4 linked regions of the Saccharomyces cerevisiae S288C genome follow. Changing the gene in region 1 together with any one later gene gives a genetic interaction. Each region holds a gene or a part of one and is shown on either strand. Other genes may lie near its edges. The genes, in order: MGM101, ISC1, MIC19 and PDB1.

What was found.
Region 2: mutations in MGM101 (region 1) and ISC1 together harm fitness less than expected from each alone (positive genetic interaction), as found in Saccharomyces cerevisiae (2 studies listed by BioGRID).
Region 3: mutations in MGM101 (region 1) and MIC19 together harm fitness more than expected from each alone (negative genetic interaction), as found in Saccharomyces cerevisiae (2 studies listed by BioGRID).
Region 4: mutations in MGM101 (region 1) and PDB1 together harm fitness more than expected from each alone (negative genetic interaction), as found in Saccharomyces cerevisiae (2 studies listed by BioGRID).

The regions. Positions count from the first base shown.
Region 1 is NC_001142.9:698,909-702,470, reverse strand, and holds MGM101 (Mgm101p), read right to left. Parts: upstream 1,590-3,562; coding exon 780-1,589; downstream 1-779. Other genes in the region: 40S ribosomal protein eS4 RPS4A, read left to right, coding at 1-444; PMT4 (dolichyl-phosphate-mannose-protein mannosyltransferase), read left to right, coding at 1,857-3,562. UniProt on the Saccharomyces cerevisiae protein: Performs an essential function in the repair of oxidatively damaged mtDNA that is required for the maintenance of the mitochondrial genome. Binds to DNA.
Region 2 is NC_001137.3:191,046-194,937, forward strand, and holds ISC1 (inositol phosphosphingolipid phospholipase), read left to right. Parts: upstream 1-1,751; coding exon 1,752-3,185; downstream 3,186-3,892. Other genes in the region: AAA family ATPase AFG3, read right to left, coding at 1-743; kinetochore-associated Ndc80 complex subunit SPC25, read right to left, coding at 914-1,579; Arf family guanine nucleotide exchange factor SBH2, read right to left, coding at 3,228-3,494. UniProt on the Saccharomyces cerevisiae protein: Responsible for the hydrolysis of the phosphosphingolipids (IPS), inositol phosphorylceramide (IPC), mannosylinositol phosphorylceramide (MIPC), and mannosyldiinositol phosphorylceramide (M(IP)2C).
Region 3 is NC_001138.5:166,246-169,515, reverse strand, and holds MIC19 (Mic19p), read left to right. Parts: upstream 1-2,257; coding exon 2,258-2,770; downstream 2,771-3,270. Other genes in the region: YFR012W-A (uncharacterized protein), read right to left, coding at 206-292; DCV1 (Dcv1p), read right to left, coding at 1,020-1,628; ubiquitin-specific protease UBP6, read right to left, coding at 2,950-3,270.
Region 4 is NC_001134.8:664,498-668,144, reverse strand, and holds PDB1 (pyruvate dehydrogenase (acetyl-transferring) subunit E1 beta), read left to right. Parts: upstream 1-1,891; coding exon 1,892-2,992; downstream 2,993-3,647. Other genes in the region: PCS60 (Pcs60p), read left to right, coding at 1-1,425; YBR221W-A (uncharacterized protein), read right to left, coding at 1,503-1,607; YBR220C (uncharacterized protein), read left to right, coding at 3,468-3,647. UniProt on the Saccharomyces cerevisiae protein: The pyruvate dehydrogenase complex catalyzes the overall conversion of pyruvate to acetyl-CoA and CO(2).

The sequences.
Region 1 (3,562 bases):
ACCGATGAAGAAGCTTCTTACAAGTTGGGTAAGGTCAAGAAGGTTCAATTAGGTAAGAAGGGTGTTCCATACGTTGTTACCCACGATGGTAGAACTATCAGATACCCAGACCCAAACATCAAGGTCAATGACACTGTTAAGATCGACTTGGCCTCTGGTAAGATTACTGATTTCATCAAGTTCGATGCCGGTAAGTTGGTTTACGTTACTGGTGGTCGTAACTTGGGTCGTATCGGTACTATCGTTCACAAGGAAAGACACGATGGTGGTTTCGATTTAGTTCACATCAAGGACTCCTTGGACAACACTTTCGTCACTAGATTGAACAATGTCTTCGTCATCGGTGAACAAGGTAAGCCTTACATTTCTTTGCCAAAGGGTAAGGGTATCAAGTTGTCTATTGCTGAAGAACGTGACAGAAGAAGAGCTCAACAAGGTTTATAAATTTCATAACAACTTAATTATTTTCTTCTTTTGTATATCTCCATTAATGTTTATTAGAAATTGAATTTTAAAATAATACATCGTATCTTCCTTTTTCGACTGGCAGTAATATAACGTATAATATATATATTAGGTGTGTGTATATATATCCGTATTGTAATATTGATAGTAAAAATACGCTAACCCTGAAATAGAAGGCGTATGATAAGACGTACTGACACTACGCACTACCACAATATATGCGTATGTGTGTGTGTGTGTGTGTGTGTGTGTGTGTGTGATTGTATTGGAATATATATACTTACTAAAATTAGCTTATATGGTTCGCATATTGACTATTTATAAGGATATTCAACTTGTCTGTCCTTTCTTAACCAAATTTTCTTCTTTCTCTTGGTGGTAACATGTTCCACAAACTTCTCAGTACAATGATCCACTTTGAATTTCTTTATGAAAACAGGGTCCCATAATTCAGAACCGACGCCGAGATCTTTGCAACACCTCATTAATGCATTACTTTTGCAACCTTCTGTAGCAGTTGGTATGCCGGCTTCGTTGAAATAGTCTTGTTCGCCTCTTGCCACACTGATCAATTGACCATGGCAAATAAGACCGTACTCCCTAGTGACCAGCTTGGATGTCACTATTGTTTGTGATCTTGGCACTAGCCCCCAACCGCCTGCGCCAAAAGCTTTGTTCAGTATTCTACGGTATTTAATTTCAGGCAAGTATATCAAACCATCTGGCTTGATTTCTATATCCTTAGGGTCCAGAGGCTCGATTAGATCCTTTTGCACTTTTGCTTCAAAGGGCTTCATACCTAGGCCATACCATGAAGTATACCAGTCAATGTCTCCCTTGACTTGCTTATAACTATTGTTCAAAGAATCATCGGCGGTGCTGCGGGTTTCCAAAGGGGTCCCGCCGAGTTTAGAGTTAATGCCGCTTGAATATTCCTTCATGTGGCTTCCATTGCCAGCTTCCGATTTTGTTGCAAATACAGGCTTGGTTTCGGTACTGTTGAAACTTTTCCTCACTGCACCGGCTGTTGCGGTGTTACTAGTGCCGGTACTCACCACGGTTCTTTTTTGGCAAAATTGAGCAGCATGCGATACACATCCTCTAACCTTGAAAATGCTTTTCATCGTACGCTGATCTTCCTACTTGTCCTTTCTTTCCTTTTTTAGTCTCTACCGTCTTTTTAAATAGTTTCTTCCATTATTCTGTCGATAAATTTCGTGATGTTATTCGTGTATTTCTTGACAAAAAAAATAAAAAATGAAAAATATGCATAATGAAACGCGCTTTATCAAAACTACTCACTCGAATCCTTACTTCTATATTAACTGTACTAAGAAGTTTGTCGATACATATTTTACCAAGATATTTTCTGACAGTCCACAGAAGTACAGATGTCTGTGCCCAAAAAACGTAACCATGGGAAGTTACCACCTTCCACTAAGGACGTAGACGATCCTTCGTTGAAGTACACGAAGGCCGCGCCTAAATGTGAACAAGTTGCTGAACATTGGCTCTTGCAGCCACTACCGGAACCGGAATCACGTTATAGCTTTTGGGTAACAATTGTTACCTTATTAGCGTTTGCTGCTAGATTTTATAAGATCTGGTATCCAAAAGAAGTTGTTTTTGATGAGGTACATTTCGGGAAATTTGCATCGTATTACTTAGAAAGGTCTTATTTCTTTGACGTTCATCCCCCTTTTGCTAAGATGATGATTGCCTTCATTGGTTGGTTATGTGGCTATGATGGTTCCTTTAAGTTTGATGAGATTGGGTATTCTTATGAAACTCATCCAGCTCCATATATCGCGTACCGTTCTTTCAACGCGATATTGGGCACATTGACTGTACCAATTATGTTCAACACTTTGAAGGAACTGAATTTCAGGGCTATTACATGTGCGTTTGCATCTCTCTTGGTTGCAATCGATACTGCGCATGTTACAGAAACTAGGCTGATTTTACTGGATGCCATCTTGATTATTTCTATTGCTGCTACTATGTATTGTTACGTTCGTTTCTACAAGTGCCAATTGCGTCAACCTTTTACATGGAGTTGGTATATTTGGTTACACGCTACTGGTTTGTCTTTATCCTTCGTGATTTCCACAAAATATGTTGGTGTTATGACATATTCCGCTATTGGTTTTGCTGCTGTGGTCAACTTATGGCAATTACTGGACATCAAGGCGGGTTTGTCCTTGAGGCAGTTCATGAGACATTTTAGTAAAAGGCTGAATGGTTTAGTTTTGATTCCATTTGTGATTTACTTGTTTTGGTTCTGGGTTCATTTCACCGTTTTGAATACTTCAGGTCCTGGCGACGCATTTATGTCTGCTGAATTTCAAGAAACACTTAAGGACTCTCCCTTAAGTGTTGACTCTAAAACCGTCAATTATTTTGATATTATCACTATCAAACATCAAGATACTGACGCATTCTTACATTCTCACTTGGCACGTTACCCACAACGGTATGAAGATGGTCGTATCTCATCCGCTGGTCAACAAGTTACTGGTTACACGCATCCTGACTTCAACAATCAATGGGAAGTGTTACCACCCCATGGCAGTGATGTCGGTAAAGGACAAGCTGTTCTATTGAACCAGCATATAAGATTGAGACATGTAGCCACCGATACCTACTTGTTAGCCCATGATGTCGCCTCCCCATTTTACCCTACCAATGAAGAAATCACTACAGTAACTTTAGAAGAAGGTGATGGGGAATTATATCCTGAAACACTTTTTGCATTCCAACCACTGAAAAAATCAGATGAAGGTCACGTTTTAAAGAGTAAAACGGTTTCTTTCCGTCTTTTCCACGTTGATACCTCCGTAGCTTTGTGGACTCACAACGACGAGTTGTTACCGGATTGGGGGTTCCAACAACAAGAAATTAATGGTAACAAAAAAGTTATTGATCCTTCAAATAACTGGGTTGTTGATGAAATTGTTAACCTGGACGAGGTTCGGAAGGTATATATTCCGAAGGTTGTTAAGCCATTACCATTCTTGAAGAAATGGATTGAAACTCAAAAATCTATGTTCGAACATAACAATAAACTATCATCAGAGCATCCATTTGCCTCTGAACC
Region 2 (3,892 bases), on another chromosome or scaffold:
ATTTTTCTGGTTATGAAGTAAAGGCCACCAAGCAGAATGATGGTGGGCAGGAAGGGGAACAAAAATGTGAAGGGAGAAGATCTCTCAATGTATTTGATGGGGATACGATCCCGAGGAGGAATGTTCAAGAGGTCCTGGATCTGGTCCATCTGTTCCTCAAAAATATCTACTGAACCAATGGTGAACGATACAACTTGCTTTGTATTGACTAATTCGGCCTCTACGAGAAACTTATTAACGACGTAAATCTTGGACACAAGACCCTTCTCCAGGTATTTTGTTTTGAAATCCTGGAAAGTCAAGACGCGGTTAGAGTCGTCTCCTGAGTTGTTACTGGAAGGTGTGAGCAAAGTAAATATAATTGTGAATCCGATGGTCAAAAACATCGTATTAGCAAATTCCTTAGATCTGAAGTATTCTGATAATGAACCAAACTCATTTCTTTTGTCTTTGCCATCTTCTTTATTGCTATTATTATCTTTATTACCATTGTTCTTGCCCTCACCCTCTTTGTTTGGCCTATTTTCATTTAACCTTGTCCATGAGATATGGAAGGAACGTATTTGGGTAGAACGGTGTATTGTGTTTCTGGTTGCCAGACCAGATAACGTCTGCAAACGCTGGTGAACTGGCATGCGCGAGCGAAGCACTGGCTTCACTGTTGATATGCGGCTAGCTTTACCAAATGAGAGTGATGTCAATGAGCGTGGCGCACCCCTTGCATATCGTTGCCACATCATCATCACTTAGTATATTATAAAATAAGTGGATGATGCCTTTATTTGAAGACTGCGTTAATCTCCTTTAATATAGAATGGGTCCTTGTAAAAGTTATGTATAGACAGTAAGAACCAATTTATTCCTCATCTAAATCATAGGCCCAGAATAAACTGAACAGATGCGTATAAAGGCGTTATAAAGATGCCAGAAGCATATCGCGGGCCACGACTAAAAATGCCGCGAGGTCGCCCTGGACGGTAAGCACGTGCTCAAGTGTTGCCCGACTCTTGGGGTCCAGCGCCGGGTGAGAGTTTCCGATCACGTGGTCTCCGTGCATCGCGACTTCGATCCAGCAGCGTGAATCATCGCCGAATACGAAACGTACGTCATGCACATCGCTGGCTCCGGGTAGTACACGAAGCTGCAACAGCCGTTCGTACAGTGCGACCTCTGCGGCATCGTTACCCGACTGCGCAGCCCAACGTGCGCGTAATTGGACACACTCTTTACCACGCTGTTGCAGCAGCGAGTCCAGCTCGCGCGATTGGGCTGCTAAGGTCGACTGCCGTCTAGATAACTCAGATTCACGCTCGTGATAGCTTCTCCACTGCTCTCTGGTGGTATTTGTAGCTTGTTGGGCCGCATGTATTTGTTGCTGCAGAGCGGTGCGCTGGGTGGCAAGCCGTTGCAGTTCATCTATGAGATGTTGGTGTTGGTTATGTAATTGACGCATTTCCGCTTGGAACTGTTGCAGCTGTTGGCGCGCGTGGTTTTGCTGACGTGCCAGTACCTGGGCCACGTCCTTTTGGAACCCGTCCATCCGGCGCTCAAGGTCCGAAAATGCGTCTATGCTGGCCATTCTTGTATGTGTGTATGTGTTGTATACGTATGAGCGGTTTTAATTGAATCGGCTTAGCCTGTTTTTGTTTTTGTTTTTGTTTTGTTTTGGTTTGGTTTGATTTATTTTGGTTTGGCTTAAATCTTCGAGGAAATTTGCGCTTTCCGCGTAAAAAGGGAAAAAAAGCAGATATATGTACAACAGAAAAGACAGAGATGTTCACGAGAGGAAGGAAGATGGTCAATCTGAGTTTGAAGCACTGAACGGGACCAACGCAATTATGTCCGATAATAGTAAAGCGTATTCCATAAAGTTTCTGACCTTCAATACATGGGGGTTAAAATACGTCTCCAAACACCGTAAAGAAAGACTCAGAGCAATTGCTGATAAATTGGCGGGCCACTCAATGCTTACGCCAATATCTGACGAGTTGTTGCCCAATGGTGGAGATAGTAATGAAAACGAAGATTACGACGTGATTGCCTTACAAGAAATCTGGTGTGTGGAAGACTGGAAGTATCTAGCTTCTGCGTGTGCCTCCAAGTATCCGTATCAGCGTTTGTTCCATTCTGGTATTCTGACGGGGCCTGGGTTGGCCATACTGTCCAAGGTCCCGATAGAGTCGACCTTTCTTTACCGGTTCCCGATAAACGGTAGACCGAGTGCGGTGTTCCGTGGCGACTGGTACGTAGGGAAATCTATAGCAATCACCGTATTGAACACAGGAACCCGCCCCATTGCAATAATGAACAGTCACATGCACGCCCCATACGCCAAGCAGGGTGATGCCGCCTACTTGTGCCACAGATCTTGTCAGGCCTGGGATTTCAGCAGGCTCATTAAGCTTTACAGGCAGGCCGGTTATGCGGTGATTGTGGTGGGTGACTTAAACTCCAGACCGGGCTCACTGCCCCACAAATTTCTCACGCAGGAGGCCGGCCTGGTCGACTCCTGGGAGCAATTGCATGGGAAGCAAGACTTGGCGGTGATCGCTCGTCTGTCTCCATTGCAACAATTGCTTAAGGGCTGTACCACGTGCGATTCGCTGCTCAACACATGGAGGGCCCAAAGACAACCCGATGAGGCATGCAGGTTGGATTATGCTCTTATCGACCCTGATTTCTTGCAAACAGTAGACGCAGGTGTCAGGTTCACTGAACGGATCCCTCACCTGGACTGCAGTGTCTCTGACCATTTTGCATACTCATGCACCCTTAACATCGTCCCACAGGGCACAGAGTCCCGTCCATCCACCTCCGTTAAGCGTGCGAAGACTCATGATAGAGAGCTGATCTTGCAGAGATACTCCAACTACGAAACCATGATAGAATGCATCCACACGTACTTGAAGACAGCCCAAAGACAGAAATTTTTCCGTGGCCTACATTTCTGGGCCTCAATACTTCTCCTAATAGCGTCGTTGGTCGTGACAACGTTTACTGCAAACAAGGCAGGCTGGTCCTCCATCTTCTGGGTCCTTTTCGCTATTGCTGTCTCCATCTCGGGCACCATCGACGGTGCCATCTCCTTCTTGTTTGGCAGGTCTGAAATCAGAGCCCTCATCGAAGTCGAACAAGAGGTTCTGGACGCGGAGCACCACCTGCAAACTTTCTTGAGCGAGAAATGATATTATCGATTTTCTTTAGCATATGTAAAAAAATTACTGATATTATATAATGTGTGTAAATTTCGTCAATAGATGCAAAGCAATCACGGAGAAGATGAAACCGACAGATAGGAACAATACGACAAGGGAGTCGACTCTGAATCCATTGGCTTCGTCCGTATATAACTTCAAAATTGAGCTTGAAGACCCACCGTAACCAGCCTGTCTGGTGGAAGTGGGCGTTTGTTTTGCTTGCTTTTCCTTAATGGATTGTGCCTGTCTTCTCTTCTGCAAGATACGCTGACCTCCTGGTGGAACTGAAGCTGCCATTCTTATGATACTGTTGATCGATAATACCACCTGTTTTATGCTTTGCGCCCCTTACCTTTTCTCACACGCACATATATCTACTCTCTCATACCTCTTATATCTAAAATGTCTCTTTTGGCCAGTTAGTAACTGAATGAAAAAGTGAAAATGGAGGAAAAAAAAAAAGACGAAATCCAAAAGGCTAAGGAAACGGGTAACCCGTGGTACCCGGGGCAGAATCAAACTTATAATTACTAAAGATATACCATATATTACGATCCCTGCGCCCGGCGTGCTCCACATTAAGTAAATGTCTGGAGTAAAATGAAGTCCGCCAATTCAGTCACAAAACATGACTACTGCCTCGTTCGCGATTTCTTCTTCCCTTACTTCATCATGTTCAAGCCCCCTCAGCTGCG
Region 3 (3,270 bases), on another chromosome or scaffold:
GATAAAAGTAGCATACTATTTACTCTATCTTATTTTTATTTTCTATATACTAGTCTATCAGACTCAGACGTCAACGATGTGGAATACGGATGGAATCATTAAATAGTAGCAAGAAGTACTTTATTCTTATTTTTCAAATTGCGGCGCGCCAACAAAACGCGTACAAAAAAAGCAGATTGGATAGTACTTTATTCTTGTTATTTTGTCATTGGAAAGTATAAGCTGGTTGTGGATTACTCTTCACACGATGTGCCTGTTTTTTGTAGGCGGGCTTGTACTTTCTGGGGAGCATGCTGTGTATGTTGTAGGTCTGTGGCAATGTTTGTCGGGAGTGTTCGCTGTTACCATGAGTTGTCTGTGAGTAGTAGCGATTGTAATTGTGGTTGTATCCTACTGGTCTTCTTCGGGAATACCAAGGAATGAAAGAGTTATGAGGAACCTCACTTTGATCCTGGTAATTATTTGGTTGTTGTAGTTGATATTGGCGGGGCTCTGTGAGACAATGATTTTTTTTTGAATATATTTTAAAGCAATCGGCTGATTGGGTAGCCTCAACGCCAAATAACCAAGGAGGGTCGTAGTTATCTTGTGAATGGCTTGAGATTCCCTCATAATATAAAATATTTGCCTTTTTTTTTTCAGTAGGCATTTCCACATTTTCTTGCTTTGCAGGTAAGTCGGTTATATTGATTTCATCCAAAGATAAGGATTTTTGATTTTCAACATGCCTTCTAGAAAATATTTGTTTACCATTCAACTTTGGAGCGAAGAAACTCACCAAACCTGCTTGCTTCAATGGAGATTTGATTTCAGGCGGTGGTTCATCTTGATTTGTTACCGCCAGTTTATCTTGATTGGGATCTAAGGTCCTTGGTAGATCATTAAAAAGACTTGTGATGTCATACACAGATTGGTCTGTGCCCTTAGTTGTTTGTGGATAATTTTCGCCAAGGGAACTTGATGTTTGACTCGTTCCATATAGTTTGAGAATACTGTCTACGTTCTCTATACTAGCTTCTTTAGCTATGTTTTCTGTCTGACTGCGCAGACGTATCAAACCTAAAACTGAGAAAATGCACGCCAATAACGAGCAGAGGGAACAGGGAACAGTTAGCCAGCCACACCAAGTCGTATAAGGATGAAATTGTAACAGGATCACGGTGCATGCAAAGTAACAGGATCACGGTGCATGCAAAAATAGTTGATAAAAGTGTCAATATGTGTAATATAGCGTTGGAAGTAATAAGTGAGACATTAGTTCCTCCAGTCTGAAAAAGAAAAATAATAACCAAGGGAAGTGCAAAAGAAATGAAAGTCAAACATGTAGCAACCGGTATCGAAATCAAAAGTCCTCCTATTGTATGTCTTGCCTTAGGACTCAGCCACCAACGTTCAAGAGAAGGGCCAGGTAATATTTCTTTCGAGGTGTTATATATTAAACGTACTCGAGAGCAGGAAAAAGAATTCAAAGTTTTACAGTAACCAAAGGTACCATATGAAACTCCAGCAGCTTGAGCCAGCCCCCAGTTTCTAATTATTGGTGAAGTTAAACAACATATCATAAAGCCAGAAAAAGAGATTAATTGTAGGAAAGAGGAAAACAATAAAATCAATTTATAATTTAGCATCAATTATTGAATATGGTACCAAAAAAAAAAAATTAGCAAAAAAAGGCAATTTTCTCACCTTCTTGTAATTATTACGCGTAAGGACAGATCATAAAAGTGTATTTCATCCTCAATCATCAATTAAATAATTTATTTATTAACATTCATATATATTTATATTTTCGTTTGCAATTTCGCAATTTTAATATGTCACAAAAAAAGCGCCCACAGAATTATCAAGAAGACCAACCAAATCAATAATAAAATTCGGCAAATAACATTATTAGATTTTTCATGAGATTTAAGAAATACTTGTTCTGTTGTTTAACTGATGGTTTATTACTTATATTTAAATATTGAAAGCTGCAAGATTTAAAAAAATATCTCCCGGGGGCGAGTCGAACGCCCGATCTCAAGATTTCGTAGTGGTAAATTACAGTCTTGCGCCTTAAACCAACTTGGCTACCGAGAGTCGTTTTTGTTGTAAAAAACTACGAATATTCGTGGTATGTCGCATATATATATATTTCTTCTTCCAATGAGACGCAGAGGAAAAAACAAGTGAGGAGGAACATTTCAAAGAGATTGCTAATCAAAAAAAAATTCAAGAACAAAAACAAGGTGGTATATCGACTAATACAGAGTCAATCATGGGTTCAAACACTTCCAAAGTGGGTGCTGGTGCAGAAAAACAACAAGTCTATACTCCGCTAACACAGATCGATTTTTCACAGTCTTTGGTTTCTCAATTGGATTCATCGAAGGAATCAGACTATGTCACCAAGCAAAATGCAGAAAAGTTCATTGAGAAGAAGGTTTCACAAAGGCTATCTAACCTAGAAGTTGAAACGTTAAAGAAGTTTGAAGATACTTTGAACAATTCACTATTATCAGACGACGACAAGGATGCCGTTGATGGAATATCATCAAGTTCATTGAATAATCAAATCGAGTCGTTGAACAAGAAACTAACATTATTTGATCAATTAGAGTTACAAAAGTTGGAGAAATATGGGGGTGCCAAAGGTAAATCTGATAAAAAAACCGACAACGGCAGCATTTCTATAAAGGCAAAATTGACTGAGTGTCTTTTGGCCAATAAGGGCAAGCCATTGAATTGTTACGAAGAGATGGAAGAATTCAAGAAGCTCGTTATGGGTTGAATAAGAAAAAGTATACATAAACTCGACCAAAAAGAATTCGCCATTTCATGTATATAAAATGCATTTTTATCGATTGGCGGATGAACGTAAAAGGGAGAGAAATATTTTTATGTGTATGTAAAAAAATGTATATGTATATTCCGAAAAAACTATTAATTTTGAAAAAATGAAAAATGGACTTACAGACCAAATCCTTTATACATTAAGATCAGTGCACTATCACTTTCGCCCCCACCGGCTAAAGATTCAATTTTTTCCTTTTCAACAACGCTAACTTTATCATCATTAAATTTGTACCATTTATTTTCGTCCAGTTCGTCCCTTATGAAAGCTTGATAGTGTCCAGACTCAGAATTGGCACCTTGATGTGTAATGACACCGATCAAGTTATAAACACAAGATGGGTTTTCACCTTTTTCCAAGTTTGGAGGAAAATGTTTCTTATACTCTTCGAGCCATTGATCTTTTTCACTTTCGTTAAGAGCCACTTGTGTCTCATA
Region 4 (3,647 bases), on another chromosome or scaffold:
CGTAATGGGCTGGAATTTATCGTCGCTTTCCTCGGTGCTACTATGGACGCTAAAATTGGCGCGCCCTTGAATCCCAATTATAAGGAAAAGGAGTTCAATTTTTATTTGAATGACCTGAAATCTAAGGCGATTTGCGTCCCAAAGGGTACCACAAAGTTACAGAGTTCTGAAATTCTAAAATCTGCCTCCACGTTTGGATGTTTTATCGTAGAGCTGGCCTTCGATGCGACCAGGTTTAGGGTAGAGTATGATATATACTCTCCAGAGGACAACTACAAAAGGGTTATTTACCGGTCTTTGAACAACGCCAAATTTGTCAACACAAATCCCGTTAAATTCCCTGGGTTTGCCCGTTCCAGTGACGTTGCCCTGATTTTGCATACCAGTGGTACCACCTCCACTCCAAAAACGGTGCCTTTGTTACATTTGAACATTGTGAGAAGCACGTTGAACATTGCTAACACTTACAAGCTAACGCCCTTGGACAGATCTTATGTCGTGATGCCTCTTTTCCACGTCCATGGGTTAATTGGTGTTTTACTTTCCACTTTTAGAACTCAGGGTTCTGTTGTGGTTCCCGATGGATTCCATCCAAAGTTATTCTGGGACCAATTTGTTAAGTACAACTGTAATTGGTTCAGTTGCGTTCCCACAATAAGCATGATTATGCTGAACATGCCCAAACCAAACCCTTTCCCACACATTAGATTCATCAGATCGTGTTCTTCTGCTTTGGCTCCAGCAACGTTCCATAAGCTGGAGAAGGAATTCAATGCACCTGTCTTGGAGGCCTATGCGATGACCGAAGCATCACATCAAATGACCTCAAACAATCTGCCTCCAGGAAAGAGAAAGCCTGGTACTGTGGGCCAGCCACAAGGAGTCACCGTCGTCATTCTAGATGACAATGACAATGTCTTGCCCCCGGGCAAAGTCGGCGAAGTTTCCATCAGAGGCGAAAACGTCACTTTGGGGTATGCTAATAATCCAAAAGCTAACAAGGAGAACTTCACCAAGAGAGAGAACTATTTCAGAACCGGTGACCAAGGTTATTTCGACCCTGAGGGGTTTTTGGTCCTTACAGGCAGAATCAAAGAGCTTATCAACAGGGGTGGTGAAAAGATTTCACCCATTGAGCTCGACGGCATTATGCTATCGCATCCAAAGATCGATGAAGCCGTTGCATTTGGTGTTCCCGACGATATGTACGGCCAAGTAGTTCAAGCCGCCATTGTTTTGAAGAAGGGAGAAAAAATGACCTACGAAGAACTGGTGAACTTCTTAAAGAAGCACCTAGCCTCTTTCAAAATTCCAACCAAGGTGTACTTTGTTGATAAGCTACCAAAAACCGCTACAGGTAAAATCCAGAGAAGAGTTATCGCAGAAACTTTTGCTAAGAGCAGCAGAAATAAGAGTAAGTTGTAGGCAGTATCCTGTACAATTTTATGCTCTCTGAAAGCTTCTATCTGGCACCCGTTTATATACGCCAATACTTATGTATTTTATCTATCTAATGAAACCACAGTATTTATCATGCCTAAGCTGATTCTTTTTCGTCGCGGCTGTTTCCGGGGTCTGTTTTCCGAGACTTCGAAGTGGGAGAACATGCAAAAGAGACGAGTCTTCAACTAAGAAGTTCTCCGTCATTAAAAGTCATGCGTTTGCACGTTTGCAATAAAAAGAGGTGTATCTACATATACAGGTTAACGATTGCAACAGCGACTCTTGATATTATCTCTGTCAAGTTTCTTCCTTTTGTTAGACTAATTTAGTATCATTTACACACTCGGACGTTAAATTCCGCCTCCCTCATAACAGTTCCTGTGTTTGTTCATTGATAATCGATCGCAGTTTAGTAAGTTCTTTTACTTTTGCAATAATTTTGTTCAACATGTTTTCCAGACTGCCAACATCATTGGCCAGAAATGTTGCACGTCGTGCCCCAACTTCTTTTGTAAGACCCTCTGCAGCAGCAGCAGCATTGAGATTCTCATCAACAAAGACGATGACCGTCAGAGAGGCCTTGAATAGTGCCATGGCGGAAGAATTGGACCGTGATGATGATGTCTTCCTTATTGGTGAAGAAGTTGCACAATATAACGGGGCTTATAAGGTGTCAAAGGGTTTATTGGACAGGTTCGGTGAACGTCGTGTGGTTGACACACCTATTACCGAATACGGGTTCACAGGTTTGGCCGTTGGTGCCGCTTTGAAGGGTTTGAAGCCAATTGTAGAGTTTATGTCGTTCAATTTCTCTATGCAAGCTATCGATCATGTTGTCAATTCCGCTGCAAAGACTCACTACATGTCTGGTGGTACTCAAAAATGTCAAATGGTCTTCAGAGGTCCTAATGGTGCTGCAGTGGGTGTTGGTGCTCAACATTCACAGGACTTTTCTCCTTGGTACGGTTCCATTCCAGGGTTAAAGGTCCTTGTCCCTTATTCTGCTGAAGATGCTAGGGGTTTGTTAAAGGCCGCCATCAGAGATCCAAACCCTGTTGTATTTTTAGAGAACGAATTGTTGTACGGTGAATCTTTTGAAATCTCAGAAGAAGCTTTATCCCCTGAGTTCACCTTGCCATACAAGGCTAAGATCGAAAGAGAAGGTACCGATATTTCCATTGTTACGTACACAAGAAACGTTCAGTTTTCTTTGGAAGCCGCTGAAATTCTACAAAAGAAATATGGTGTCTCTGCAGAAGTTATCAACTTGCGTTCTATTAGACCTTTAGATACTGAAGCTATCATCAAAACTGTCAAGAAGACAAACCACTTGATTACTGTTGAATCCACTTTCCCATCATTTGGTGTTGGTGCTGAAATTGTCGCCCAAGTTATGGAGTCTGAAGCCTTTGATTACTTGGATGCTCCAATCCAAAGAGTTACTGGTGCCGATGTTCCAACACCTTACGCTAAAGAATTAGAAGATTTCGCTTTCCCTGATACTCCAACCATCGTTAAAGCTGTCAAAGAAGTCTTGTCAATTGAATAAATAAACTTCAATCCAATAGGAAGGAGAGAAAGAAGGAGATAGGGAACTTTTTTCCCTGTACCCTACACTTTCTACCCTCTTCGCGGAAATAGTACTAATGAGAAAAACATAAATAATATTTTGCTAATCAAGACATGTATGGCGTACTGGTTATTAGTAGATATATAACTGCAAATACACACATACATACAATGTATATATTTTGTTTTTACAAAATTGAATGAGATAAGTACTGTGCACATTGAATGAGTTCCTGTTTCATGGTTAGAATACGCACATATTTATTTTCTTTTTTTTCTTTTCGACGACAGGCTGAATGAAAGAAAGAAAATAAAGATACTCTGGCATGCGAAAATAAGTGAAAAATAAATCGGCTATAATGCGTAAGCTACTGTGGGAAGCAGAAGCAAGACCTAAACGTTTGGTGAGGCAGTATAATATACCATAGTTATAGGGGGATAAAACAAAAGTAGGCATGGAACCTAAGCGAAAGAGCGGGTCACTAGCCAAGCATGATTTGCCGCAATTTTATCTTTTAATTATGTTATATTTGGCTCAAGGCATACCTGTAGGATTGGCCTTCGGTACCGTACCGTTTCTACTGAAATCTTTAGCAAAGGAGACCTCGTTTACATCACTGGGAATTTTCTCTATG